Oreochromis niloticus: one gene and its partners. The main gene of each other region encodes a partner of the protein of the gene in region 2 in a complex. Links are inferred from orthologs where the notes say so. Each region holds a gene or a part of one and is shown on either strand. Other genes may lie near its edges.

The links.
Region 1: tmem231 (region 2) and ahi1 share a complex: the UniProt entries of both Homo sapiens proteins name them as parts of the tectonic-like complex. The link is inferred for Oreochromis niloticus from reciprocal best matches to the Homo sapiens genes TMEM231 and AHI1.
Region 3: tmem231 (region 2) and cep290 share a complex: the UniProt entries of both Homo sapiens proteins name them as parts of the tectonic-like complex. The link is inferred for Oreochromis niloticus from reciprocal best matches to the Homo sapiens genes TMEM231 and CEP290.
Region 4: tmem231 (region 2) and tmem216 share a complex: the UniProt entries of both Homo sapiens proteins name them as parts of the tectonic-like complex. The link is inferred for Oreochromis niloticus from reciprocal best matches to the Homo sapiens genes TMEM231 and TMEM216.

Annotation. Positions count from the first base shown.
Region 1 is NC_031983.2:20,287,174-20,294,435, reverse strand, and holds the start of ahi1 (jouberin), read right to left. Parts: upstream 3,297-7,262; 5' UTR 3,124-3,296; exon of another isoform or gene 3,001-3,123; intron 2,823-3,000; 5' UTR 2,754-2,822; coding exon 2,744-2,753; intron 1,964-2,743; coding exon 1,845-1,963; intron 1,586-1,844; coding exon 1,005-1,585; intron 916-1,004; coding exon 827-915; intron 727-826; coding exon 540-726; intron 327-539; coding exon 134-326; intron 51-133; coding exon 1-50. Other genes in the region: vacuolar protein 8, read left to right, coding at 3,958-4,147, 4,371-4,490, 5,128-5,247, 5,402-5,521, 5,799-5,918. UniProt on the Homo sapiens protein: Involved in vesicle trafficking and required for ciliogenesis, formation of primary non-motile cilium, and recruitment of RAB8A to the basal body of primary cilium.
Region 2 is NC_031972.2:4,918,282-4,925,492, forward strand, and holds the start of tmem231 (transmembrane protein 231), read left to right. Parts: upstream 1-4,097; 5' UTR 4,098-4,387; coding exon 4,388-4,526; intron 4,527-5,453; coding exon 5,454-5,620; intron 5,621-7,211. UniProt on the Homo sapiens protein: Transmembrane component of the tectonic-like complex, a complex localized at the transition zone of primary cilia and acting as a barrier that prevents diffusion of transmembrane proteins between the cilia and plasma membranes.
Region 3 is NC_031972.2:41,787,554-41,795,861, forward strand, and holds the start of cep290 (centrosomal protein of 290 kDa), read left to right. Parts: upstream 1-5,255; 5' UTR 5,256-5,284; coding exon 5,285-5,398; intron 5,399-5,873; coding exon 5,874-5,951; intron 5,952-6,162; coding exon 6,163-6,232; intron 6,233-6,321; coding exon 6,322-6,368; intron 6,369-6,893; coding exon 6,894-7,028; intron 7,029-7,354; coding exon 7,355-7,408; intron 7,409-7,577; coding exon 7,578-7,598; intron 7,599-8,130; coding exon 8,131-8,277; intron 8,278-8,308. Other genes in the region: tmtc3 (transmembrane and TPR repeat-containing protein 3), read right to left, coding at 316-415, 3,557-3,775, 3,925-4,113. UniProt on the Homo sapiens protein: Involved in early and late steps in cilia formation. Its association with CCP110 is required for inhibition of primary cilia formation by CCP110.
Region 4 is NC_031966.2:8,580,992-8,588,783, reverse strand, and holds tmem216 (transmembrane protein 216), read left to right. Parts: upstream 1-4,618; 5' UTR 4,619-4,695; coding exon 4,696-4,705; intron 4,706-5,723; coding exon 5,724-5,737; intron 5,738-5,823; coding exon 5,824-5,917; intron 5,918-6,561; coding exon 6,562-6,654; intron 6,655-6,994; coding exon 6,995-7,196; intron 7,197-7,289; coding exon 7,290-7,305; 3' UTR 7,306-7,438; downstream 7,439-7,792. Other genes in the region: tmed9 (transmembrane emp24 domain-containing protein 9), read right to left, coding at 1,325-1,474, 1,989-2,135, 2,244-2,369, 2,963-3,063, 3,875-4,064. UniProt on the Homo sapiens protein: Part of the tectonic-like complex which is required for tissue-specific ciliogenesis and may regulate ciliary membrane composition.

The DNA of each region.
Region 1 (7,262 bases), on a different chromosome or scaffold from region 2:
TCAACATCAATGTTGGCTCTTGCTTCTTCCATAGTCACAAAATCAAGGATCTTTGCAAAACATTTCAATAAAAGAAATTATTGTCACACATGTTAAAATATGGTTCATTAACTGTTATTGAAATAACTCTTACTTCAAAGAACAGTATGACTTTGGGGCCTTCGTCATGTTGTTGAACAAAGTAGCCAAAACGTTCATTGAAGATGATCTGCTCCTGCCACTCAGGGATGACTGATTTGTTCTTCTTGAAGTCATAAGGCTGGGTCATGATGGGGAGAACGTGGTCAACGTTTTCCTGCTCATAAAATGAGGATACGGGGCGATGACTACAAAAAAGAAAAACAAAATGTGAACTGAAGGCAAAATGTGTTATAATTCCAAGGTTTTGGCACTGTTAAGTGGCTTATAAATAAAAATAACTATGGTCCAAATAAAAACAAATAACTATGGTCCAATTATTTTAAGGTAAAAATATCTAAATAAAAAATGTGCCCAGAAATTGAAACACAACATTAAACTTAATCGCAGAAATGTCTCACCAGTCTTCTTTCTTCACATATTGCCCTGTGGCTTCATCAACGACGTGGATCTTCACCATGGGGTGTGAAATCATCAAGTCGGTCTTGAGGCGGTCTGTTCTGTGAATGTACACTCCAAGAACAAGGTTGTCATCAAAAACTGGTTTCTGAGGTGCTTCTGACTCCGCTTCACTCTGTTCTTTGACAACTACAAGGGGAGAAAACAAAATATGAAATGGATTACCATCAACACCTTTATACACCTTTAACTGGAATTTGATGAATCCTGAGAATTATCGTGCAATCACCATGTTTTTTCTTCTTCTTTTTCTTCTTTCCCTTGGATTCTGTTTCATTTTCCACTTCAGCATCCAGGTCTGTATCTTCATCTTGATCCCTGGAGGCAAAAAAAGAAGTAGAAAGAAATCAAACACTGTTGCCTTATCACTAATTATAACTCCATAGTACACTAATAGTTATACACACCCTGGATCTGAATCTGTGACTACAGATTTCATCTTTTTCTTTTTCTTCTTCCCCACATCATTGCTAAGCGTAACACTTTGCGAGACAGCACTCTCATCTTCTCCTTTGACCCTTGTCCTCCTTGAAGTCCTCTGCTCCTCCTTTACTATCTTTTGCTGGTATTCATGCAATAGGTTATCTTCTGTGTCCTCCACCTGGCTTGCTTCTTTAGCCTCTGTATCTCCTTTGCTTTTTCCCTTTTTATTTTTCTGCTTTGGGGCCTTTCCACCTACAGAATCATCTGGATCCAATGGAATTTCAGGTCTTGATGCATTTGCATCTTCTTGGATGTGACTTCTGATGTCCTCGGGCGTAGGAGGAGAGGGAAGGTCCCTCTTACTTTTTCTTTTAGATTTTGATGTTTTAATCTCCTCTTGGTTTCTATTGTTGTTAAAATTAACCTTCTCTGAAATTTCTCTCTCCCTTCTTTTATTCTTTGTGTAGCGAGGGCTGCCCTCTTCTGGGTCATATGTGTTCTGGAGGATGGTCTCATTGTCTTCTGTGTCCTTCTCAAGGTTGAGATTTTTTTTTAGATTCTGAAGCTAAAGAGGAAAAGGGAAGGAGGTGTCAGTACTTACAATCTTTTTATTTTGTTATTTATTAAACTTCCGCAATTAAAATATGTCCGACATGTTGTATGTTTTGGAAGAGGGGCATCATGACAGCCTTGTTCACATAAAATGCAGAATCCACAAGGATTCTGGACTATTCAGAAATAGTTTTAAGACATGTCCTGCAAGTTCTATATGTTTTTGCCAACATCTGATGTAAAATTATCAATAGAACACAAGAAACACATACCACAATAGTCTCCGGTGTTTCAGTGCTTTTCTTTTTCAACGTTTTCTTCTCAGATTCTGTGTACTTCTTGAAGACTTCATTAAATCTTTCCCGGGTTTTTGCCCGGTCTTCACTCTCACCTATAAAAGGGAACATTTTATATAGATTACATGACAATGCAGATTAGACTTTATAACATAAATAAGATTAACTACACGTTGTTGATAACACTTCTGTAGATTGATAAAAAAATTTTGCAAAACTTGTAACTGCATTTTTACACTACTGCATCACACTAAGTAAGAGAAGTAAGAGTAGCAATGCAACAGACAGGGGACAAGTGAGGTGAAGAAGAGAGTGCAGGCATGGTGGAGTGGGTGGAGATAAATATGAGAGGAAAGAAGGACACCCTGTCACCAACGTGACAGGGAAGGTTTGCAACATTTTAGTGAGACCTAATATGATGTATGGTTTGGAGATGGTGGCACCAAGAAAAAGACAGGAATCTGAGCTGGAGCTGGTGATGGAGTTGAAGATGTTAACAATGTTAAGGGAGTGACCAGAATGGACAGGATTAAAAATGAGTACATCATAGGGACAGCTCCGGTTTAAGAGTTTGGAAACGCTACCGAAGTTAACGAAACAAGACCGAGGGGGTTTGGGCATGTCCAGAGGAGGGGATAGCGGATAGATTAGACATATGTTAAATATAAAGTTACCAAACACGAGGAAAAGAGAAAGACTACAGAAAAGATCCGGGAATGTAGTGAAGGAGGAAATGCAGAGGGATAAGGAGAGATGCAGGCAGATGATGTACTGTGGCGACCCCAAATGGGAGCAGCCGATAAAAAACGGCATTGCTACTTTAATTTAAAGAACCTTCCACCATTGGAGTGAGGAGGGAACAGCAGGAAACTTACCTGCTGGCATTCTTAGACAGCGTGATGTTTCTCTTTCCGAGCGCAAAATGAGAATAATCCAAAACTGAAGACTCTCATTCTAAAAATACAGGATAACGACGTTAAAGTTGCACAACAAAATCTCTACTGGGTTAGCTATGTTTTGCTAGCCAAGCGTTTAGCACTCTAGTAAAACAAAACCGTATTAAGTCTCCCATGGTGTTTAATTTGCTGAAATCAGAGTATAGGAAAAAGTACAGTTTGTGTGAACCACTAACCTTAGCCACTTTAGCAGCTAGCTTGCTAAATGCTTCTGATAGCTCACTGACTTTGTAGGGTTACTACATTTGGTAAGATAATATTTAGGAGCTTTAACGAACAGTCTGAGTATTAAAACAAACCTCGCTCCACAGTAGCAGTCCGTAAAAGTATGTATAAGAAGCAGAAGAGTTGGCCGAGGGTTAGCGCATGTATCTACTCTGCAGTGATTGTGCTGTCCTCCATCTTTAACAACAACGCTTCGACGGTTTCCAAGTCAACAAAGCTGAAAAAGAAAGGCGGAGCCGGTGAAACGTAATCTGACGTACATACAAAAACAACAAATTAACCAATCAAAGCTGAGGACAGAATTTCATAACAGAGATATATTTACATGTTTTTTCTGTTATGATTAGCTTCACTTTCTTCTTATTTTATGTCTACCTCTAAAAGCCTGATGTTTATCATAATCTTAAATATAGAAAAATCTGTTATTGCATTAATACAATGGCCAGAGAAGAAGTATCCTATTAATTTATTCAAGTAATGTAATGTTTTTACCCGTGTTGCACTTTTTTGTAAGCTGATATACACTTTACACAGTTCACATAGAATATCATACAGTTCTACATCACAGTCACAAAGGCTTGCACACAAAGAAAGAATACAATAAATTTGTAGCCTAGAACAAAAGAAACGCAAACGAAAATACTACCAACCCAATATGAAGGCTACAGAATTCCACAAACTTGCACAGCCGTGAAACGCCTAAAATATTTAAATATTAATTTTTATTAAGTGTCACGATAAGTTTTACTTTTAAAGTTGTGTAGAGATGCAAAAACCTTAAAGCTAGAAGAGCAAGATACTTTCGAGAGTCTAAATTTACCTTGCAGTCACGTGACACAGCAGTAGGCGTGTCTACGTGCAGGTTGTGTAAAATAGACAGGTGTCAGGACCTTGTACAAGATGCAGTCATGGCTTCAGGGTTTTGTGACACCTGCTCGCGGTTGTTGAAGGAATTTGCGGATCATTTGAGGAGCGCTTGGAGAGAGCTGGAGCTCAAGATAAAGGAAGCTTTCAGAGAGATTGGACGGTGCAACTGCTTTAGGATTTCATCCGAGAGAAGGAAGGCTTTTGATTTGCCTTCCTTACGCCTCAACTGTGGTAGGAAAATTGCAGCCATGCATATTTTTTTTTTATGGAAATCGCTGTAGAGGAACAAAAAGCGAGGCAGAGGGCCTCTGTGTTATTTAGAAAAATGAAAAGCATCAAAGTAAACGTTTAGACAACAACTTCTTTAAACTTTCATACTGCATGTGCTATTACTCTTCAAAGATGTACACAAGTTTATATGATCAATTCAATTAATCTCTTTCCCCCCTCCCAGACAACGAAACTCAACTTCTCAGCCAGGAAAGTCTGCAAACACTGAACAAACTTGCAACCTCAGAAAACACTGATCTACAAATGACTTCAGCCATGTATTATCTACACCTCAGTCATCATCGTGAGTAAAGATTTCACGTTTTTGTTTCATCTGACAGTATTCCTGATAGCAGTAACTTCCAGATGATCAGCTGTTGTTTGCACTTCAGGTTTCATCATAGGCCTCTATCAGTTACTGCAGAGATATTTTCTCTAACGGGTGTGACCAGTATGCAAATTTCCAACTGTATTTTTTTTTCCCCCAAGGCTGGCAGATAAAACGCCCACTTATGGACCCATGTGTTACAAAGAAGGAAGAATAAGAGGATTTTACTGTGAAATTCACAGTATGCTTTATTATAATCTGCCAACCAAGAGCCCAATGGTGCATATTAGCTGAGGCTTCTTCTTTCAGTACAGCATAGACAGTTTTCTGTAGTATATAAATGGGTGACCAGGTGTTTTGTGTATTGGTGGCAGTTGACAGATTGCTGTGTTTAGATGCTTGAGGTTATAGCACAACTTATGAGGGATATATCTTTTGAATTTATAATCAGCTACAAGTATGTAATTCAAATTTGTAACATTTAACTTCTGCAAGTAAGACTGACATACAACTACTATAAAATGGTCTCAACTCGAACATTGTTCATTCTGACAGCAAAAAATGTGACTTAAGTTTCAAAGTGTGTTACTTTTGCCTTCTTTGTGTGTTACAGTGAACTGTCCATTACCAGATGCCTTCATGGAGCCCATCATGGCTCTACTTTTATCATCTGATCTTGATGTTCAAAAGACTGTCTCTCTCGCCCTTGTAAATCTGTTAGTAAAGAATAATGGTAAGAGATAATAATAGTAAGATATTTACATTATTATAATTTTTTTTAATTAATCCAGAATTTTAGTGATTTTGATAGTATGATTCTAAAAGCTCGTGGTCTTTTGGAACAAATGGCTTATTTATGATTTGCCATCCATAAAATTTGATTTCAGTGTGTAAAGAATTGGTGATAGAAATGGGGATGCTGGTGCCCATAATTGAGTTGTTCCGGTCAGGTGATCCCACTGCTCAGTGTCACTCCTGTGCCTGTGTTGCCATGTTGGCCTCCTCAGGTTTGTACAGACCTTCATTTTTAAAGTATTTTTCGACACGGTTTAGAAAGTACAAACACTTAATTTTAAAAACTTATTATGTATTGCAAAATAAATGGCAGGACTTTGAGAATGGCTAGAGAACTGAAGACTTATGAGAAAAGTAGTTATTTTGTTCCATGTGCTTCTTGAAATGACCTCTCCTCTGTCTTGCTGAAATTCTGCTAATTTGTTTTGGGCCACTAGCACTCCAAAATTGTCCCTGCGTGCATAGTTGCTATTTCATCTTTCTTTCCAGAGTCAAATCGAGATTCTTTGATGGTCGATGGAATCATACCACTCTTGGCTTTAGCAAAATCTTTTGATCCAAAGGTCCAACGGAATGCAACTTGGGCTCTATTACACCTCACGCAGTCAGGTGGGACCATTTCATTTGAATGTCACTGTGCACTTACAGTTGTGGTTAGAAGTTTAGATACACTCATCATTGGTATCAATGCCATGGTAATTTAGGGATTACTTTGAACTGTTCTTTTTCTAGGAATGATTGTGCAGTAAACATATTTATTGAGTTTTAAAAAAACAAAACAAAACAAGAAGTCTGTGCACAGTTTTGAATTTATTTTGGATTTTGTCTAATCGACCCAGGGTCAAAAGTATAGATGCAGGCTCAGATATACACACATCCTTACATTAGTGGGGCTACTAATGTTTTGTTAAATTCCCTTTAGTAAGTTGCACCTCAACCAGATGTTTTTAGTAACCATAAACAAGCTTCTGCAATAATTCTAGATGAATATTTTACCAATTCTGCCAAGAGAGGTAGTTGAGTTTTTATTTGTTTGTTTGTTTTTGTTTTTAAATAGGGTTGAGGTTTGGGAATCCCACTCCAGAACCTTAATCTTAGCCTGCTTTATCCATTCCAAAAACCAGTTTTGATGTGTCTTTGAGATCATTGTCCCTTTGGAAGACCCAACTGACTCAAAGTTTCAATCATCTAGTTGTTAATTTTAGGTGAATTTGAAGGTATTCCTCCCTTCTTTAGTATTCCACCAACTTTGTGCAATGTACCAGTACCACTGGAAGCAAAACAGCCCCAGAGTATGATGATACCACCACCATGCTTGACAGTTCAGTTGATAGCCTCACCTTTATTGCTCTAAGCACACCTCTTGTCTTTGTGGTATTCTCTTTCTTGGTCAGCACCCTCTCAGCCCAACTGGTGTAAAACTTCATGTGAACAGTGATGCTGATGTTCCTACGGTTTTCAGACAGTCTTGAGCCTTGGTGGTTCCTGGGTTGCTGAATAAACATCCTAACCAATTTTTTCTCCTCTGAGGGTGATGGTTTAGGTCTTCTTTTTTTTTTTTCAGAGATGGGCAAAGTGGTGACAAATCCTAATAACTTGTACTTATGTACAGTTGTTTAAAGTAATGCTCTTTAAACCTGCAGTTGTTTAGAAGTGGTTCCAAGAGACCTTCCTAACTTGTGTAACAGTTCTTATTGTTTGTTCTTCACTGAGTTCCCTGGAGTTTCCATTGTTCTGAGTATTGGTCAATCCAACATGTGCTCTCAAACAAATGCTCCTTATGCAGGCATAAAGAAGAATTGTAGTCAATCATGATCACTAACAAGGAGTTAATTTGCCGTGGTGTTAGGCCTAGAAGCTTGTTCAATTCAATTCAATTTTATTTATATAGCGCCAAATCGCAACAGAAGTCGCCTCAAGGCGCTTTATATTGTACAGTAGATCGCACAATAA
Region 2 (7,211 bases):
ATGGAGAAACAGGTTTACCTTTTAGGTGACATGAATGAGTTGAAGGGAAGTTATGAACTGTTTCTGAGAGACAAATAACACCAGCATCCTTTTCTACGTAGCTGACAGCTGGTAACTGTGGAGGGGCGGGTCTAGCAAAGTGTTGCCAGGGGGCCAGGTAGGGCATTAACAGGGAAAGGGGGGCACAAGGAAATACTTTTCTTTATTATTCTCATTTAAAATGTCTCGCTTTTAAAAAAATAATTATCTGAGTCTTACAACAAACAATTGATAGATTGATACATATATACCATCAGAACAGTGTACATCACTGTCACAACAGCGTTTGTTTTCATTCAAAGGCTTTATGATTTTTCCTATAATGGTGGGCCGGTCTCTAGTCAAAATGCCTGGGACGATTTTTTTGTCCCAGTCCAGGTCTGTATGCAGCTCATCTGCAGTCTGGTGTTACCTACATCTTCCTATTCAGAAGGCAGAATTTCCAAGTTCTGAGTACAATCAAAAGCACCACGACTGCAGTTTTTGTGTTGGATGTAAAAAGCAGGCTAGAATCATGGCGGCGGTCAACGACGGTCCAGGCGTGGGATTTCTCTGGTGGAAATGTGCACATTATTTTTTCCTTTCTATTGGTAGGTGGCACAGTGCACTTGTGGCAAGTAAGCAAGCTAGAAGACTGAAGCAACACATTAACAAGAGAATTCTGAGTAAAACCAAAGTTACTTTCCCTAGTAACTAGTTACTTTGAAAGTAACGAGTAACTTGAAGTAACTGAGTTACTTTTTTAGAGAAGTAACTAGTAATGTAACTAAGTTACTAATTTAAAGTAACTTACCCAACACTGACAGTTACACACTATATAGAACAACTTTATAGAATTATATCTGTTTGCAGATGTTGGCAGCTATCAGCTATTTTGAAACCAAAAAAAGACTCTTTTTATCCATAACAAGAACTCCATAAGAGTAAATGAACTGTACAACAGAAAACGCAAATGCTATTTATGGTCTCCTCACAACAATGATAAGAAAAATGAACTGGGCCAATATGGCATGTTTGTTAATACAGGGATACACATGTTAATGTGATCTCTGGTCTCCCACTCAGAGACACAGGTCTCCGAGTGTCCAGCATTCAGACGGCTACCCGAGGACACTCTTCATGTGAGAGAAAATCTGCTCACACAGATATGTAGAGCCAAATACTGTCAATAAGGCCTCTGCAATGTTCTCAAGACAGTTAAACTTGTCAGGTAGTGATGTCCAGCAGGTGAAAATGCAAGCTCCATGAACACACACAGCTGTGGATTCCAGCTGTGTCTGTATTTCTGCAAACTTTGACCCCACAGAGTCGAGGTTTTTATTTCAATCAGCTGCATTTTGATGTCGCATTACCTGGCATTAACTCAGCCAGTTAATGTGAGACAAATCCAGCTGCTCATTAAAGCTTTCTGGTTTGATCAGAAAAAAAAACATTGGTCCATACACCTGAAAGTCCCAAAAACGCATTGTGAATTCTGTCTCGAGTCTACGGATGTATCTGTGTATTTCCGCTGTGCTGATGCTGCACTGAGCGGGCAGCTCCTGAAGCATTTGAAGTGTCGGAATGTGGAAATTTCAACATCGCTTGAAAAAACTGCCAGCTAGCAACGTCCCTCTCACCGGTAGGCTAAGTTATTTTTAGCCAATTACAAGTTGAATCTGGTAGTTGGGGTTGTTAGCTAAGATACCATCATTAAGAAGCGGCACAATTAATGTGTCTATGCGAGCTAATTTGTGATGTGCGCCACTGGCCCGGCCATTTATTTTTTTAATGCACCTTCTCAGATTAATTCACTGCGTGTCGTGCCCAGGGCTGGACTGGGACAAAAAATCGGCCCGGGCATTTTGACTAGAGACCGGCCCACCAGGTATTATAGGAAAAGCCATAAAGCCTTTGAATGAAAACAAACGCTTTTGTGACAGTGATGTACAGTCTTGTTGGTATATGTATGATTTCTATACATTCTATACATCTGATAAAAACTTTGGTTGTAAGATTCAGATAATTATTTATTAAAAGCGAGACATTTTAAATGTGAATAAGAAAGAAAAGTATTTCTTTGTGCCCCCCTTTCCCTGTTAATGCCCTACCTGGCCCCCCTGCCAAAGCTTTGCTAGACCCGCCCCTGCACAGTTACCAGCTGTCAGCTACTTAGAAAAGGATCCTGGTGTTATTTGTCTCTCAGAAACAGTTCATAACTTCCCTTCAACTCATTCATGTCACCTAAAAGGTAAACCTGTTTCTCCATCACCTGTTCAGCTCTGATGATTCAGTAAGGACATCTCCTGGTTTCATCTTCATGTTTCCCTCTCACCACATATCCAAACCGATATCATGACCAGCAGCTTTTACAGCTGTGGCTCCAGCAAACATCAGCTGATACTAGAAATTAATATTAAATAAATTCGAACAACAGCTGATCAAGCTTAAACGTACCGCTGTTGTTTAGCGCGAAATCCGCTGGTTTCCTCTTTCTGGCGCAAAGTGGGCGATAAACAAACAAGAGAGAAAAGCCGATCAGCTGATCATTGATCAGTTTCATGATTGAAGTAGCAACAGGAGAGAGAGGGGAGAGAATGAGAGAAGAAGAGGCAGCTGACAGCGTAAAGACAGAAACACTCCGGCTTTGTGTCTTTTTCATCCTAGCTGAAGTCCGGGACAAACTGTGTTCCTTTTCAGCTGAATACGAGACGATTCCGTTTTTTAGGGGAAAGTTGGCAACTCTACTAACCTTATGAATAAAATAAAGTTCACTATCAGTAACATCATAGCACACACCCAGCTGTATAGAAAATCCGTCATGCTAGCTAGTACGCAGTACGAGTTATTGTAACTGACTGTAAAAAGTCAGCACAACGAAAATAAACTCCACCTAAACTTGTTTTATATCTGACCCAGATAGACTGCAGGTCATAACTTCTTACCTGAAGTTAAGTTCACCTGACACTCGGTCTCTCCTCCTCCTGCCTCCCCTTTCCCTCATCCACCCGCTGGCCTCTGTGGAAGCTCCGCCATAGCCACCACCAAACAACTGACTTATTTTTATACATCGGCCAGCATCTGGCCAATCCACCACCTTTCATTGTTTCATTGTACAAGAAAAAAAAAAAAAATCATCGGCCCGGGCAAATGCCCGATATACCTGATGGCCAGTCCAGCTATGGTCGTGCCAACAGTCAACCCTTCGCGCCCAGGGTTGCTGACCCCTGGTCTAGACAGTGAGATAGCAAAATTGTTTCTGTAATTTTACACATTAATTTTTTACAATTTAAGCCCAGAGTCATTAAGACTGGTGTTACTTTTTCACTAACTACATTAGAAAAACGTTATCATGTAACTATTTGGGCTATAAATGTGCAGTTAAACCTCTGGTCAATGACAATAAGCAGAGTTTCACTTGTCTGGCCCACCTATCTGTATGTGGGCCACAATGTAAAATTTGAGTTTGACATCCGTGTTAATGCATAATGAACCCATCCAACCATCCATAAATAAAAATAAAATAAATAATAATAATAGTAACAAACACAAAATTATTTTTAATTTTGATTAATTTTCTATTGAGTATATTTATAATTATTTACATATCTTGTAGCAACTAATGTCTTGTTTTAAGATGAGAACTACCACACAAAATTTCGTTATGTGACTGCATAGTGAAAAATAAAGAATATCTGGATTGGCATGCAAAACAGTCTTAAAGGGATGCAAAATGAACAGAAAGTAATAAAAATAAATAAATAACAACAGACATGTTCGCAGACATGTATTTGCGTCTGTTTTCAGTTCGCAACTTAAAACAGACGCAAAAGTGGCCTGAAACAGATGCAAATTGACCAGATGCAAAACGACCGAGACGCAAAGAGACCCAAAACAACGTGAAAGAAAAACTAAAAGATAATCAGAGACCCAAAGTATCCTCAAATTACAAGAAATAAATGCAAAGTAAGCACAAAAACATGGAATCCCTGCATGCAAAGCTTTTCTGCTTCTGTTTTTTTTTTCTGTTTTGTGTGACCTCTGCTAAGTGTGCTCACCGTGCTGCTATCGCGTGAATGCAGCACAAACGCGAACACTGGCAGCCATGGCAACCGCCAGACGCTAAGCTAGGAAGGAACATGGCGCGGTACTTGGTGCTAACATAAATAGCACGTTAATTCACTGTGTTTTTTGACCAATGCCCTACTAGAGTCACTTCATTACGGAAGCGGTTGGATGGCTAAGGGATAATTTATGCTTCCTTAGCATTTTATTGTCGGTTTGCCCACGCTGGTCCTCCGAGGGTTTTTCCGTCGGTTAGCATCTTTGCTATCTGGAAGATTGAGCTGTTTATACCTCCAGCACACTTATGGCTTCCTATGAGGTGTACTCTCACCCGGCTTTGATTCGGTACAAAACCAGCGTGTGCACGAAAGCCACGCTGTTCCTGGTTGTGGTTCTGTGCCTCACCTACATCCCGCCTCTGCTGGTTGCTTACAGGAGCCAAGGTACATTTACGGTCCAGAAACTCTACATGCGCTCTAAAAACTACACCCTTTAGCAGCCACGCATGCCACGCTAATTGAAGCAAAATATTTGTTTGCACGTCACTCATGGAATAGCACCAGGGTTGCGCCACGCAATGGGATCTCCATAGTTGTAAATAATGTTAGCTGGGAAGGCAAAATCCTGTGGCACTTCCTCTATTCTCCCAAGTCTGCTAGGTATCAAAGCATGGCATAAGCCATGAAGTTTTAAATTAAACTGATAAAACTCCAGATTGAAGCTTTTATACACGTATTAAGATTCATTCATCAGACTTCATTTATCTCCGTCAGGAATCACAGGCTCCTGGTTTCTCTTATTGCTCTTGTATGACTGTGAAACATTAAAACGCTTAATTCATGTCTGCTTTAAAAAGAAAACACACAGAAAGCATTGCGCGTGGTTGTTTGATTGCATCACAGGCAGTAATTATTTTCATGTTTATTATTACAACTGATAAACAAGTGGTTGGTGGTGTCCATGTGTAAAATGACAACAGAGTTGAAAACAGAATTCGTCAGTAACATCATCAAGCTGCTTCTGTTTTCTAAATGAGAATAATTTAAGAAGGGTAATTTATTATTATTTTCACTGACTTTGAATACAGCATGGTTGTTGGAGCCAGACCGGTTGATTTGGGTGTTTCAGAAACTGCTGATTTACTGGAGTTTAGTGGGATTTCCCCACACAATAATCTCAACTCCAGTCTCTAGACCTCCACGGAGTGGTTCACCAATTTATTTATTTTTTTGAAATGGGTGTTAGTCTGATTTATTTTGCATATGTTTGTAATTACACCAAGTAGGTAGTTGTAGAAAACTGAACAGTTTGAGTCATAATAAGTGATACAAATATGTGCTCGCTGTTTTCAAACTTGTTTTTAATTTTAGGTTTTTGGATAAAAAGGAGCACTTATGAGGAACAGCCAGTTGTGAGATTCCAGTACCAGACTCTGCTTGTTGCAGCAACCAGTACTCAGGGAGAATATGTCGCCTGGAGCACCTTCCCCCAACTTAACAACATGCTAGGAGCCAACCTCCGGATTCCTGCAGTCACTGTAAGAATGTGTTCATAGCACCCTACTCAAATCAGTTCTCTGGTAACAAACTACAGCAGAATTGATAGAAGATATAGAATAATCCTTTAATTGTCCTACAAGGGGAAATTTGGGTGTAACAGCAGCAAGAAAGACACATACAAATAAACAGTACACAAGACACAGAACAGAAACATACACAATTTTTACATATTTACATCAAGTTGAATGGTTACCAAAAACAGAGTACTGTACAGTTATTAAATTAAATTAAATTAAATTAAATACAGATAAGAGGCAAACCCTGGTTATAGTGTGAATCGGTTGATAAAATAGTGCAAGTTACTTCGCTGATGTAAACCTCTATGTTTGTTGGGAGCAGTTTTGATTGTACAGTCTGACAGCTGCAGGGAGGAAAGACCTGCGGACCATGATATTTAGGTAATGAACTTAAGCACTGTGTTCACAGTTGATTGGTTAGCAGGTGACTGGATTGGATTAGATGAGATTAGACAGGTGATTAGTGGTAATGCTAAAATCATAATTTAGAAGTAAGAAACTTTGCCGTGGCATGAGCTTCATTTTCGTGCTCATTCTGTGTATGTGTGAATTGTGCTTTTCACTTTAATAAGTGTGCAGAAAATACCCTAAAAGGTTATTCTGAAGAAAAAAGCAGAAACAGCAGAAATGTAACCAGTTAGTTAGTGCGTCAGTGTTTTTCATTAGTAGCACCCAAGCATAGGGCTGCTCAATTAATCGAATTTTAATCTCGATTACGATCTGGGCTTTCAACGATCATTAAAAATGACTGAGCCGATTATTAGCACCTCCCTCGTGCTTTACTCTTGCGCTGCTCCGTGTGGCAAATCGAGCGCACCTCTCTGCGTTTTGAACACGCGTCACAACAATTAAGAGGACCCGAGGGAAGCTCTGAAAGCTAAGCAGAAGTTATTTGGAGAGGAGAGGATAACGGCTGCTGAAGAAAGAATGCCGTTGGTTGAAAAGAGAGATAAAACGACTTCAGTGGTGTGGAAACATTATGGGTTCGCGGAGTCAGACGTGGATCAAATATTATGCAGTATTTTGAAGTTCACTAAACATAGATGTTTACATTTTTCTTTTATTTTTTATATTGCAAACATTTCCACTGTAATCAGTATTTGCACACTATTTTATACTATTTTTTGACAATCTTTAAAGCCATTATTCAATACATTGTTATTGTTAAGTAAATATCGTCCAATAATCGAGATCTCAATTTCAGTGAAAATAATTGTGATTATCTCCAAAAGTTGAATCTGTTCATCTGGACGTAGCGTTTTGTGGGAGAAACGTTTCGTCACTCATCCAAGTGACTTCTTCAGTCTCAGCTGACTGCAGGTTTCCCTAAACCTTATAAACAGTACATTTGCATAATGACTGAAACCAGCCCACTGAAGGAACAATGGGCTGTGAGGTCAGTTCCTTAATCATAATTATGCAAATACCCATGACCATTGATCAACAATCACTGACCAAAACCCACTGATCAAAGAACACTGATCAATGGCCATGAGTACCATTCACAGAGGGAAAATTGTGATTATCATTTTTGCCATAATCGAGCAGCCCT
Region 3 (8,308 bases), about 37 Mb from region 2:
GTAACACTGACTGAACATTCCATATTAATTACCCTCAAAGGGAAGTGTTTATTTATATCAAAACACTGGTGGAAAAAAGATGGAAGTTAACACCTGAATACCCAGGTGTTTGATCTTATCCAATCTGTTGCCACAACACTTCCACTGCCCCTGTCTTGATTTTTTGTATATGTATTTGCTTATTTTGGTAATTAAAATAATGATATAATCTTAACGGAGACCAGCATGTTGAAAATAAGTTCATACTTAACGACCCAGCAGATTTTGCACATGAGACAGAAATAAATAAAGGCCAGGGAAGAACATTATACTTACCAATGGAATGGTCTGGTCCAGTTGACTTTGTATACGCCAGGAAAGCAGCCAGAAGAAAGATTGATGAAAGAAGTTCAGCTCTGCCAACCACACCAGTGACCTGATGATAAACAGTCAATCAACACAGAGACCCAACCATAAAGATTTGGAAAGATGATTTCTTAAAATATACTTAAATGTTCATTGTTTGGTAATTCAAGTTGAAATGTAGATAAAAAAAAGTGTCAGAAATAAGTTTGTGAAATCATTCAGAAAAGTTTACTTTTCCTATTAGGAGGTGCTATTCTATGCCCATGCTACTTTACCTCGACTCTGAGTCTGAAGCCACCACCACATGACCTCCATGCCTCAGACAACATATCTAATAACTCTGAGAACATTACACACGTGTCTTCGACTGGCACGAACCAGAGCTCATGGTCTAAGGCTCTAAAAATAAAAATAAAAAAAAAAAGCTCTGTTCAGCGCATATCAACTGATGGGCACGCAATTATATGTAACGTAGTCTCTCTGACAGCAACGTCTGTCATTTAAGTACATGATGACTGCCCTCATGCGGAAGAAATATCATTATCAAGTTCTTAGAAAGAGACATACTCTAAGAACATAAAGGTCCCACAAATAGTTCTACAAAGCACTCACTAAAAGAAGAGGGGATTGTTTACACTTTAAGAATTCAGCTGGCATCATGAGAGGGCTGCAGCTTCCAATAAATAGGGATTGCCATGAAGATTCAAAACAAGCACAGGCATTGTGCTCTGACTGACCTATTTGTCAACTGGTGGGAGAAGGAAAAAATGCTGGCAGCATTCAAGAGCCCCCTAAAAATGTCTGGTCAGTGCAATGTTACTTCAACAGAATCTTAGAAAGACTGATTACAGTTGGCTCAATTTCCTGAAAATACTCGAACTACAAATTTCACTTTCCATCTATACAGAGTTGGCAACTCCTTTCACCCTAATGCCATGTTTGACCCAAGATATTGGTGTGGTGTACACTAAATAATTTGTATCTAAAGATGTTTGAAGATATAAAAAAAACAAAAAAAACTGAAGTCCTCATTCAAAAAGACAGATCACCAAAAAAAAAAAAAAAAAAAACTACTGAAAAAGACATGGGACACACAGGCACTCTTTGTATAAGCTTATAATGCAGGGACCTTCAGTGCTTGAAGCATAATTCAAAAAACAAATGACCCGTTCAGTGAGAGATTCCAGACGGTGATAACATGAAGGGCATTTGCTGGACTAACACTAAAGGCTCATTTGTGAGGCAAATTGTTTCCATTCAAGAAGTCTGAAAGACTGTGCATAGATTAGAGAACATGATGAGGAAGATAGGAACAGTGATGCATGCTGTGTAACAGTAGCACTCCACACCCAAGAAGCAGAATGTTTCCTTTGTTTTTTTACTCTGGTCAAGGCCTGTCTGGTCATCAGTTCAGCTATGTTCAAAAGGATGAAATACAAGTCCTAATTGGGGAAGAGGCTTTTCAGACAGTAGAATGAGATAAAGTTCAAATAAACAATAAGCTAAAGGGTTTTGATTTCCTATTAAGTTCAATAAGCTTTGTGTTACAGACAACATCCATGATAAGCTATAATAACAATCTTTATATTTCAAAAAGAAAAAAAATATGAAGCCATAATTTTAAAGCATTTAAAGAATGTTTTTACTGTTGCCATTTAAGGCTGCATTAACAGAGGTTTAATGTAACGTGTAGCACAAGTAAGCTAATATCATGAGCATGAACAAAAGGGTTTCTTTGAATAAGGTGGAGTCCCTTCTTGAGCAAGCCATAACAGGCAAGATGTGACAATTTAACTGCTGTTTATTGTCTGGTTCCCTCTAACGCAATTTTAACAATCACTGAAACGCATTCTGATTTGATGCCACAGTGGACATGTTGGCGCAAAGCTAAGTTTCTGTCCTACACCGCTTAGCAAAGACACAAAGTCTTTAAATGTAAACACTGTTTCTATATTAAAGTCTCTTTAACACCTTATTGCACATGTAGATTTCAAACTTCAAAAGATCTTTGTCCCCTTCCTAATTTATTTTAATGTTTGTGACTTCATTCAGATTTGTATTAGATAACCTAAATAAATAAAACATTCCGCTATTAAATTAAAAACTCATTTATTAAGGGAAAAAGTTATCTAAACCTATCTGCCTCTATGTGAAAAAGAAATTCCCCCCCCCAAAATCTAATAATTTCTGGTACCGCCATTGTAGCAAGTGTTTGCAATAACTGGTCTTTCCCATCTAAAGGAATTTTGGCCCATTCTTCTATGCAGAATCCTTTTAATTCAGCCACATTTACAGTGCGGTGAAAATACTTCTACAGCACTATCAAGTGAATTGCTCAGCTTAAGTTGGAATATTGCAGGGCTTCTCACGTATTTTACAAAGCCACCTATCTTGTTTTAAAGGAAGAGTGAAGGTGTGGCTGACACTACTGCTTGTTTGGTTTGCGATACTAGAGATCAAGTGGGACATCCAGTGGTTATAATTTCTGTGGAAAACCCTGTGCTTAGCTAGGGCAGCTTAGTTGGCTATGTTACCTCATTGCAAGAAGGACCTAGCTTCCAGTTCAGTGTTAGCACATTGCATGCTTGTATAAGTTCTCTCCAGATACCCTGGCTGGAGCCCACTGTCCAAAGTGCTGCAACTCGGTACCAAAGACAAGCATGGGTCAGTTTAACTGGCAATTCTAAATTGGCCAGAAGTATCTATTTAAACTAGAATGGTTGTGTATCTGTGTTATCCCTGCAACAGATTTGTGAACGATCCATGATAGATCGTCCATGATAGCCAAGTGGAATGCTTAGTTATGCAAACCCAGACAGATGTCCCTAAAATTTAAAAAAGTGACCTTGTATTCTATCTCATTTTTCCTAAAACTTTGCCTAACATATGCTCATGGAAATGGTTAAAATAGAACATGAGAATTTTGAGGAAGTCAGGAGTCGGATTGCAGATGGGACTCAAGGACCACCTGACCAATGTTTAGCATTTGTCTATAATTCCCAGTGGGTCTGTCCCATCCGGTGGAGCATAACTTGATGAGATTACTTTAATTTAGAAAGTGAAAGATAAATTGGGAGTATTTCCAGTTACTTCTCTCACTAATTTACACTTTTTCATGGACTTGTACACGAACATAAGTCTCAATTAGGCCAAATTTAATTTAATAAAACACATTTTTTAACATTTGCTAGCCAAACAAATGTACACTTACAGCTTCAGTGTGAATGGGATGCACAGCAAACAGTAATGCTGCCACCAAGCTGGAAGTCTTGTCCAGGAACAATCGGCACACTCGCAGGAAAAGCACACATACGACAGCATGTAAAATGACATTGAGCAGGTGGTAGGAAGCTGCACTGAGTTCACTGAAGAGGTAGTTCAGTCGAAAGGTGAGTACTGTCAGGGGTCTGTAAGATTTATGGCTGCGCTCCTGTAGTGGGACACATGTTGGAGGTTTATTTCTCTCTAAATTACTTTGAGTAACAACAAATGACAAAAAGACAAATTAGATCCGTAATATAAAATTCTAAAGAGAAATTACATAACCTCGTATTGAGTTTGATTCTTCTTAAAGCTTACCTCAGCCATGGGTGTTCCCCAGAAATCATTGAGAAAAAGGTTGCGGATTGGGGTTGATGGGCGCAGATCCTTGTTGTCAAGGATTGCTGAGACATCATCAAACACAAACCCGCATGACAAGCTGTTCCAGTAACACCCCACCACCAGTCCACTCAAAAGTAAAATCTCCTTCCATGACACAACAGCCATTGCTGACCAAAGCCTTCATTGATCACTGTGCAGGACAACAAAAGATTTAGTATTATTACAATTTTGATGGCATGACGATTTGTGAAATAGACACTTATAAGTTCAAACTTATTTCATCTTTGGACACATATTTTCACTAATAGTGCAACTTTGTGATGTACTGTGTATGTAAACAAGTCTTCTTAGCCCGATTCCTCATCACAGCACCCAGTAAATTAAATGCCATGCCAGCATTACTTCTTAGAGTGTGCCTCCTCGGTTTGTTGATAAAGCTACAGATTCAGATGTAAATGGAAATATAACAGCTAAATTATAGAACGAATAAAAGTACAAGTGACTAAATTTGTGCTTATTTGCTGAAAAACCGAATAGTTTGGTTACCGGTACAGTGACAGCTGGCAGCAAAAGCTATGGAGGGCGTACTCCAACAGCACTGTCGTGGCCAGCTAATTTTACTCGAGAGGATTAGCTACGAGAAATCGAACACCAGGTGTTTGATAAATGAAATTCAGTCGGCATTGTGACCAATCGATAATGGTTACATAATGGCACAAAAAGCCCAAAACAGCATGTAATGACAATTTCAGACCCGCCGTAACTGCAACATAACATTAGCTAACGATGAAGCTAAATTAGCGGCTACAGCTAACTACCTTGTCATCTGTGTTTAGGCTGAATAAGATGGGAAGAGAAGTAGCTTAGGTCTTTCTCACCGTGTCTATAACAGGGCTGATAGTTGAGCTCATAAAACACACTTTAGCTGACAAAACATAGACGGAATACACAGTTCATCAAGCGGCGTTCCATATGTGCTAAGTAGCTTTGGCGAATACCCACTATCACTTCCGGTGCAGAGGTGACCGCGCAAGTTGAACCTAGCGAGATTTGATGCTTTTTGTGGACTAACTGACGTGAATATGGACAGTACCGAGTTGCAAAACTGCGACGATACACTTTAATAACTTTATATTCACCGTCTCGCTACGGTTTGGTTAAGTTTCCGGGAACCTTACCGATTTTTTTGTAGTTTTCTTCTGGAGTAGCTTCATTAGCTAACTGTTGTTGTCAGCCGTAACCTAGCAGCCAATGCGTCTCTATTCTATAACCGTCAATTTAAGTGCCACATCGATGTTATATCAGTTCCTATTTAGCTAAGTCTTTAAAACACATCATGGCCAAGATGCCTGCAGCTCTTAATTGGGATAAAGTGTTGAGAATTGACCCAGAAACCCTCAATGAACGCGACAAAGACGAAGTGGATAAGGTCTTCGATATGTTAGTTTTGGTAATTGCCCGTCGATAACATTATTAATAACATTATGTTATTTACTTCTGGAGGTTGGCCAACAAGCAATGTTTTATATTTTTTAATTTACAAATTCTATCAGCTCAGTGATTGTCTATCTTTGATGGCCGATGGAATAAAGACAGACTATAGTCCTGCTTATATGAGACTATTATTTTGAGTATAGCAATCACTGATTGACCACTGATTGGTCAACAATTATGTACTTATGTATGCTACATTTTTCATGCCTTCGGTGACCATTGGATACAACACATAACAATCTAACTTATGCTGAAAGCTCTTGATGAATTTTCCGCATAAGCCTGAGTGCTGCGATTGAACCTTGAGCAGTCTTTGTACACCTCGTCATATTACACGTATAAATATAGATTGTTTTGGTCTAGGCAGTTGTGTCGTACAAGCATTGGTATTATGAGGTTGAATGACTCTACATTTGACTTTTCCCACGCAGACAGAAGAATGGGGTGTGAAGGATAAAGCTCCAGAGAACATTATTCAAGTCCTCAGGGTGTTTCAGGCCCTGCTGAAGGTGTTCAGTTTTATTGTTTTTATATTCTGATCTCTCCCACGCACATCTGTGACCCACCCTACCAACATCTGTAATGTATTTTTAGGAAAGAAGAATATTCATAAAGGAGTCACACTACTGACCTTGGTGCTTTTACGTGTTTATGCATGTTGAAATATTTCCTTTGAAATAATATTTGTTTCTCAGCGTCTTCTCTACGTTTCTGTGTTAGATTAGAGATCGAGAACTTTCTGTTGCCTTCGACTTTATTGATGACATTGGTGTAAAACATGCTAGAAAAGGTTAGTATCATATAAAGTTTGTTAGACATTTTTTCTTTTTTGTCTGTCAGGTTAATAAACAACATCTGCATTATTTTTCTGTGTTTTAGAAAAAGAACTCCTGGCTAAGGTGTCACAGTTGGAACAAGAACAGAAGGTAAATAAAATCCAGTTTTTAAATATATATAAAAAAACGAACTGTATATGTTATTGCTTACACATTATGTATTGGGCATTTTTGTTGATCTGCTGAACTGTTATTTCTTCACATAGTTGAACTCAGCCATCATTATAAATGTTTATGTGGTTTGATATCATTTTCTATGCTTATTTACTTCCTTTCAGCAGTGCCAACTCTTTCAGCCAATCATTGAGCGTAACCCTCCTTATGAAGGGATTTGCTGTAGTGACCCCTAAGAAGATTACAGCTAATTCCTTGCGCACTCACAGAAATTGCTTATCGTTTTGAATTGTTAACCATTTTCAATTTTCCCAGGGTTGTGTATTGTCACTACTTATATTCTGGTTGTTCTTATGCCTTAAAAAACGTGAACAGAACGTTGTTTAACAACTTGGTCATGGAAATGAACACATATGAACAGATGGAGGTAATAAGACACTAAGAGATTTCTTTGTGGGGGTTGTTTGGGTGTGCATCTTGTCTCCTGTTTGTACTACTCAGCTCCACAGCACTGTGCAGAACACCGGCTTTATTAGAGATCAGATTTGGCACCTCGAGACCCAGTTGGAGCAAAGGGAGAATGAGGTGACCCAGTTAAAGAAAGAAATGGGGAAGGAAAAGAAAACCAACGAGGAGGTATGAGCACTTTACCTGCCATAGGTAGTCTTGCAAATGTTAGCTCATTAGTTTGCACATGCTATGTTGACAAAGCGCTGGTAAAACAACATGCTGGTGAAAAGATTGAATGTTACGTTAAACTGAAAATATTTATGTATGCACATATTTATATACAAAAACAACCAGTACAAGAATACGATACAAATGGTTTGACTCATCTGTTGCTTTGCTAATCTTGTTTGACATTGTTTGCTTCCAGCTTTCCATCGTTTTCTGATGGTTACAAGGCAACAGCAGAATGTTTTCGATGTTTCTACATTGTAAAGTTGGTTTTGTCTTTCTAGTTGGTTGTGCAAGTAGAGAAGGCTGAGGAAGTCATCAAGAAGCTGAAAAGAGAGGTATTTGATAGTGGGCATCACACTCGTCATTTCTTTTCATCCCTTGTTTAGTTACGATCCATTCGTACTTTATTTAAAAGTTTTGTGTACTCATGCTTTACCTTCATTTTTTACTCATTATCTCCTTTTAATCTATTTTTTTTCTGTCTCCATCTGTTCCGTGGTGTAGTTAGAAAAACTTAAGAGGAAGGTAAGACACAAAGGTAGTGTAGTTAAGTAAACTAAGTTTTTGGTTATGTGAAATGAGGTATAGTTTGTAGGTTTTGTAGCCATATAAAGGTGTACATGAGGGTTTTTTTGCATCACAGCTTTTTATAAATGTACATACAAAAAGTGAGTAGGATGATGATAAGAAGTATATCATATGCAATATGCAATCCTTAACATAATGGAATTTTAGCAGAATTTTGGGCTTTTAAAGGGTTTAAGTTTTGATTTTTGATTTTTGTGCACAAAGTGAACTTTACTAACCTGATCGATTATAAATTATAACACATATTTTATATTTAATATACATAAGGTGACACCTTCTAGACTGCGTGTTTTCTTATAAACTATCATAGAAAAATCCATCGCTGTTCAAAGTATACTGAAAAGCAGGAAAGGCTTGTATTTCAGGGGCTTTGAAAGTCAATTTAGTGTTTCCATATTTGTGAGTGAGCAGAGGAAATTTTTGGGGGTTCATTTTCTGAACTGACGTCTGTGTTCCTGCATCACATCAGAATGAGCAGCTCCAGCAGGATGTGGACTTTTATCGCGGAGAGCTGGACCAGAAAGAGCCTATGTCTTCAAAAGACGAGAATGCTGAGACTCAGAGGAAGCTCAACCTTGCCAACCGCCAGCTTTACCAGTGCTTAGATGACCTGCAGGTACTGAAAATCTGTTTGTTTACTATAAATT
Region 4 (7,792 bases), on a different chromosome or scaffold from region 2:
TTTACACCTCAAACAGTGATTCTTGACGGTTTATAACAGCAGTTTAAATTTGACTTCATCAACCACACAAACACGTTGATTTCTTGTTTAAATTTTATTATATTTTGCAGTCACAATACTCAGGATTCTTTTAAAATATCTTTCCCCTTAAAAGAAAACAATTACTGTGTATAAAAACTCCTTTGTGACTTTATGAGCTGTGTTTTGGCGGGAATATTACAAGAATGTGATTTAACCACACCATCCTTCAAACCAACTGAACTTTATTCTGAGTGCAATCACAGAGTTTCACGTGGACGCTAAAAAAAATAATAACAAGCACCTCTCCCGACCCCAAAATATTTCACCATCCGATTTAAAGCCCGCCTACAGGAACATTTCTAAAAACTGAAAACACGATCACCCGTCCTTTATTGTTATAAAGAAACTAAATCTCATCTGAAAACAGAAAAGTTTTGAACTGAGATCAGTGACCATCACCCCGAACGGTCGACCAAAGATATCACATTTCCTTGAAAATCGCCCGAAGCCTCGAACGAGCCCCTGAACTGAAGCAGCTCGAGGAGTCTTTCAGTAAATCAGTTCTGGGACTGATTACAGTGAGCAAAGCCTGCTTCAGATGTTCTCAAAAGCAGCAGACTCGAAACACAGAGGACAGCTGCAGCGACGCCGACCGGCACAAAAAACGCGTACAAACATCCAGAACCTGAAAGTAATGTGATGAAGTGAAACATCGAAACAACTCTCGGTGTTTCAGTAAAATAAAATAAGACAGTTTCAGATCTTTAATCACGTGAGCGGCAGCGTTAAAATCACACCCCACTTTTAGTCAGCGTTGCAAAAAAAAAGAGAAAACTTTTCCCGTCCCTGGTAACGAGTACGCAAACACTGAGATCACACGTCGTCTCAGTAACCATCAGATCTGTGGATTAACGACTGAATCCAGAAGATCATTTCTGAGCTCAGATCACACATATACGTGACTATCGTGTCCCGCAGACGTGCATCTTTATGGGCCAGTAACACATGCTGCGAGCGAGGGGGAGAAAATCTAAAATCGCTCCGCCGCCGGGCGCTGTAATAAATATGGAGGAGAGGGTGGGTCACACATTCCCTGATTGGTCAGGTTAAACGCTCGTCACGATCACGGCCGGTGACGAAAACAGTAACAACAAAAATCTTAAACATGTTTTTCAAGCCAAATCCTGCAGCTGGGTCTTTTCTGCCGCCCGCCAGCAACGCCGCCGCCACTCAGTACTGCATCCATCAGTAGACACCACACACACACACACACACATACACACACACACCCTCTGACTCCAGATTACACCAGCTTCTTGGCCTCGAAGAAGCTCTTCAGGTGTCTCATCTGCCAGATACCGATGGCCACCAGGATCAGGGTCTGGACGATGGACCACCAGAGGACCCGCTGGTTGGTGCTCTCGCTGGTCTGACGGAAACGCTCCTCACGGTACTGAGGGAAAAACAGACGGCAGGGGGCGCCCATTAAACCTGAGCGCTGGCATTTTTGACAGCTATGACAATACACAGTGTCTGAACATTCTCAGAATTGAGTTTGTAGCAAAAATAATAAAAACTAAACGTTTTAAACATAAACCTCATATTTGAATTAAATAAATGTAGACTTCACTGACAGAAAAAGAACATGGGTTCCTGCTTTTCTACTTTGGTGACTTTTAGTCACAATAAAACTAAATAACCAGCTGAGGCAGGAATAGAAGAACATCAGGAGGTAAAACAGCTGTTTTCATGAATGGAGTCTGGTGGAGAGTACAGGCTTTCATGTTGTCAGGAAACTGGTGCTGACAGCAGGTAAAGTGGTGAAAATGTTCTGTTAAACTGATTGTTTTGGGCGTGTACATAATATCAAAGAGCCTGAGCGATGAGCGGCTCTGATTCACGTTCAGAGTCTTCATGTGCTTTTGACATACACAAAAAAAGTGCAGAAGTGAGTGTTTCTGACTGACCCGCTGGTAGTTCTGCTCCTTCTGGATCTGGTCCACCTGCTCCACCAGCTGTCGGACTCTCAGCTGCAGCTCCGTCAGTTTGTCCTTGGCAGCGATCTCAGCATAGTTGTTGGCGTGTTCACCCACCTGGATGTCCAGGTGAACGCGCTGCAACACATCACAAAAATCACAAACCGCGGTTATGAACGTCACGGATCAGAACAGAAAGGAATAAACTGCTGAAGCTCTCGTTTGTATGTCTGAGCGTCTCCTCACCAGCATGCCGCCGGCAAACAGCGAGAACTTGGAGGAGTTGGAGTGAAGGCAGATCTGATGTTCTCCAGGTGTGTGCGACGTGAAGGTGAAGCGTCCTTCTGAACCGTACTGTCGAGACAGAATCACCTGCAGGGAACAAACAAAACATCTTCCACATCAAGCAGAAGTCTCAGCATTTGTACTCTAACTCCTGAGAGCTTAAAGCTGCAGCCTGCTCTGAACACTCAGGTTATTACACTTTTTTTCTTCTGCATCGCTGTAATCTCACAAAGCAAGGAAGTCCCACCCACCTGTTGCTCAAAGCTTTGGCAGCCAATCAGAACAAGTTGGCTTAAAGGCGGAGGAGCTAATACATCTTGATTCAGAGTATAAGCTGAAGGAGGAACATTTTAAACTGAACTACTGTGAATCCTGCCAAGCTCCTCGAGCATAGTCCAGGCGTAAAAATACTGCATATGTCAAAATATATAAGCTACTCTGAGCTGAAACCCACAGCGGATGGATCCACACATTTGATTTATTTTGTTCCAGGTACCCTTCCTGACGCAATCCTCCCCATTTATCTGAGCTTGTGACTTCCTGAGTCTGGGTTTTTGTCTCTTCCTGGTCTTGATCTGAGGACCTTTCACATATGAGGCATATGTGGCTGTACAGTTGAGCGTTAACCACGACAGCATGACGCCACATAGACTCTTTAAGTATATGAACTTTATGCTCACCTTGTCATCAGGATCTTTGACTTCCACGAACATGCCGAGACCCTGAGTGGCCGGCAGGTACTCCGCCGTCTGCTTATCATACAGCTGAGTCCGATAGTTACCTGCACAGACACACACACACAGCTTGATTAGTGAGCAGTTTGAATGAATATGGGTTCGAACTGAAACCAACATCAGTTTATCAACTTCAGGTTGAATATGTCCACTTTTTTCTTTATGTTTTGAACTTTATGTTTCAGTTAACAAAAAACAAATACAGTAAATGCAACAGGAACAGAATTCGCTTTGTTTTCTTTAGAAAACACCTTCACCATCACAACCTGAAGTTAACCGCAGACTCTCAGTTCACTGCTTTACTCTGTCTGCAGATGCATTAGTGAGAGATGCACTTGAAATGATCCCGAATTAACCTTTAATCTGATGAAAATTGTGCAGATTAAGATGCTGAAAGAAAAGCTTCTTTGAACGGACAGATTTCTTGCCAGACTGATAGTATGTACCATGTGCTAGTTTCTCTCATTCAAACAGAGGAGGGCTGGTTAACTTTGAGATAAACTTACCTTTAATCTAACCTGGATTAAATTATAGAGGAGGATTCAACGGGCCAAAGGATCCACTTTAAACTTAGTGTTGATGGATTATTATTTCAACAGCTTTCTTTAATGGAAAAATACCTTTATGAAAACTTTAATCACACTTTAAAGTTTAGATTTTTGCGGGGATTTTCCTTACTATAAAATCAAATCATGCTATCGTGAACTTTTTTTTTAATAATATTTATTTTAATTAAGTTTAGATTTTTTTGAAAAAGTGCACACATATTTGAAGACACGACACACTAAACTTGAGCTGTTAGCTGCTCGGCTAACTAGCTGCTAGCATTATCCCACAGATCCCCCACCCCCCTCTCACCGATAATCATGGTCTCGTCCGGAATCTCCTCGATGAAGCATTTCTTCTCGGTCTCTCCGATGTGAAAGTACAGTGCGGAGACGAAGCTGCACAAAACGTTCAGGAGTAAAACTGAAAACAGACACGGCTGCATCCTGATCCGGAGCGACGCCATCTTCCTGCCGGGACACACGGAACTCACACTGAGCATGCGCCTGTCACAGCAGTGCCACGTAAACCCTTGCGGCACTCTGGCCAATCGGCTAACCGCAGGAGGATACTGGGTGTCGTAGTTCTAAACGCTCTGGGCTTCTAAAATGAATGATAAATAATTTTATCATGATTAATCATTTATTTTTAGTTTATGTACTTAAAAAAATACTCAAAATGTGCGTTTATGAGACATTGTTTAAAAAAAAACAAGAGGCTTCTGAACTCTTTGCCCCCTCTCTCTCACGGACAATAACCATATCCAACTTCTAAATATTACTTGTCATGTTGTATGTTGTTGCTGGGGACTGTTTTATTGCACTGGAGTTATATTTACACTTATTATTATTTTTATTCACGCAATTTCATTGTTTTCTGACAATGACAATAAATATTTGAATTGAATTGAATTTTATTTAGCAAAGGAAAACAAATATTTAATTTCATAAGTAAAACTGAGTTGTTATTAAAATGCTTTGATGTATGCCTGTTATTATTATTTTGTATTACTGTAAGACCACGAAAACAATCTCGTGGTCTTTTACTGTGAAAGACCAAAGCGGGAAAAAGCCTTTTTCACACATGCGTAGACCAAATCAAACGGTATCCACGGCAACAGGGCTGAAGCGGACATGGCGCCCGGTGAGTGTGAGGTTTTTGTTGTTGATAAATCGGTAAAGGTGCAGGGTTAAAGTTTTAAATATTTCATAGGTTAAAGTCAGTGGAGAGTTTACTGGTCGAATAAAACTGTATATGGTTATTTATTTTTGAGCAGGCTGAGCGTGGTCAGAGCAGCGAACACGTCAGGTTTCTGTCAGCTCATCAAACCACAGCAGTCAGAGAGACGCTAACATTACTGATAAAGAACCGCAGCACATGTTTTTACACAGAAACAGCAGCTGCGTTTCCTTATTTACTCTCTTCAGCTCAGTTAGTCACATTGAAAAGACTGAAAACAAAGATGCTAAAGCCTAAAAAACAACACATTAAACAGGAAGTTTAAAAATATCAGTTTTAGTCTGACTTTTAAGAGTCCACAGATCTCAGACACTCAGAGCCTGACAACATGACCACGGGAAGCTGCTGACAGCGTATGGATGTTAAAATTCACAGATGTACGTAGGTTCCTGTCCCTGGAAAGCTCTAAAGGTCAAAACCATACTCTTAAAGTGCACTCTGAAGCAGCTGAATCAGCAGTGACTCAGTCTGAACCCTCACAGCGGCACTCTGAATGACCTGCAGACGTTCTAGCGAAGCTTTGTTAAGACAAGAGAACAAAGAAATTTGAAAATTGCTATAATTCAAAAGTGATGACATAGATGCATGAACGACAATCCCCAGTTCAGACATCCTGGAGCGCAAAGCTGCTTTATAAAGAATAGAATAATAAAAGAATATAAATAAATTATTAAATGCAGTAAAAACAATCACAGACATTAGAAACGTCAAAGATATGCCAAAAGAGACAGAAGAAAGAAAGCACACCTGCAAATCTGTGTGTACAACGAAATCACTTAAATAAATATTTAAACATTTTATATCATTAATAATATTATCAAGATCACCAATACAATCAGCAGGTTAATCAGTAATCTGATCTGTCCTGTTTGTGGTCTGTAACTCACTCTTCTGCTTCCTGTTTCCACTTTTTTTCCTGCAGGGAGCCAACCAATCGTATCCTTCACCTGACTCTAACGCAGAGCTGCAGGTCATGTGACTTTGTGCCTGCCGTTGTTTCTCCTTGACCTCCTCTTCCTCAGCTCTCGTCCGCTCCTCTGCAGGTGCTGTTCTACCTGAACAGCTGGTACTTTGCTGCCTTCTACCTGGCCGAGGTCCTCATGTTCATCTATAAAGGTGTGTGAGAGCATCCTCCTCTACCTCCTCTTTCTCCTGCAGCGCAGAACTCAGAGACAGAGTTTGAGAAATGGTGCCGTTCACGCAGACGATTAAATGGGACAGAGAATTGGGCTTTTTGACCGAGCGCTGCGAGCTCGAGCTGAACTGGGACTGAGTTTGAGGGGCACTTGATTTACCGTCGAAGCTTCCAAGCTCAGAAAGTGCACAGTCATAGCCCGGCTACGACTGTGCCGGGCTACAGTCGGAGAGAAATCGGAGTCCTTCAGGAGGTCTGCTGATGTACGCCTAACCCACAAAAGTCTGAACTCAGTCCAATGTGCTTTTATTTTTTAAGATCGAGTCACATTTAACTTAACATTTTATTTTTACATTAAAAAAGCTTAATATTCCTGTTTTTGTTCAGCTGCAGCCTGAAACTCACTTTGTTAAGAAGTCATACGTGGGTCCATCGTTGCTGTAGAACTTTATTTAAGCAGGTTAAATCCAATTAACAGCCTCCACAGTTTAAACTGGAGGAGAGGATTATGATGGTGATGAAGATGATGGTGTTTGTTAAGATGGAGAGGCTGATGATGATGGGGTCATATTGATGTTGATGGTGATGATGATGGTGATGGCGTTCTGATGTCTGCTCTCTGCAGGAGTTTTGTTGCCGTACCCGTCAGATAACCTGGTTCTGGACGTCGTGCTGCTGCTGCTTTTCCTCGCTCTTGAGATTCTGCGGATCTTTTACGGTGAGCAAAGTCACGTCTCATTTTGAATAAATCTTTATTTATAACAGGAATGGTCTTTCATGTCCTTTAAGAAGTCAGATAAGATGATTTTATCTGTCTTGAGTTCATGCTCTGCTGCTCCTGCCACCTCCTATTTAATTCAATTCAATTTAATTCAATTTTATTTATATAGCACCAAATCACAACAACAGTCGCCTCAGACATTTATGTGTCTGACAACAAAGTGCTTCACAAAAACATGTCGTGTACACACACACACATACACACACACACACACACACACACACACACACACAACACGCACGTCACAAACTGAGTGTCAAACTGCGTCTCCATCCAGGCTGGAAGGGAAACCTGTGCGAGCGCTCTCTGGCTTCCTGCATGTCGCTCTTTGTCCTGCTCCCCTGCACCGCGCTCGCCGTGTACTACCTTCTGCTGCAGACTTTCGTCCTACGCCTCGAGTTCCTGCTCAACGCCGTGCTGCTCTGCTTCTACGGCCTCGAGTTCCTGCTCGGGCTCATCTCCATATCCGCCTTCTCCAGGTGATGGCGTCCTCATGTGGGCTTTTTGGGTCGGTACAAATCTTAGTCGTTTCCTTAAATACTAAAGTTCATACTTTACGTCTTCTTCCGCAGGGCCAAAGTGTACTGAGGAGCAAACGCCACAGGACGAGTCAGCAGAGGTTTCTGTACACACTGTAAATATCTGCCATGTTTGATCAAGTTTTTTACCTTCACGAAAATGTTTCTGTAAATAAACGTTCTGATTTCTACGTCACAATGAATTAATCTCCAGTGTTTCCTTTTAAAAGTTTTTCAATCAGAATGAAGTTTAAACTGAAGTATCTTTTATATACAGTCTATAAACTATTAGCCTTTACAACAAAGGTTTAGTTAGCCAGCTGGTATCTTCATCACGCTCCACCGACACACCGATCCTCTGGTCCTTGTGCTCCCTCTGGATCTCCCGCACCTCCTCCGTCAGCTGCAGCTCCGTCTCACCACCTCCGCAGCTCCCGGTGGCCACGTGGATGTCCGCGTGAACTGTCTGCAACAGGAAGTCGAAGCATTTCTCAGCTTCTTACTGAGATGCTCATGAATGTGTTAAGTAAAACACGCCATCTGGGCGACCTTTAAAG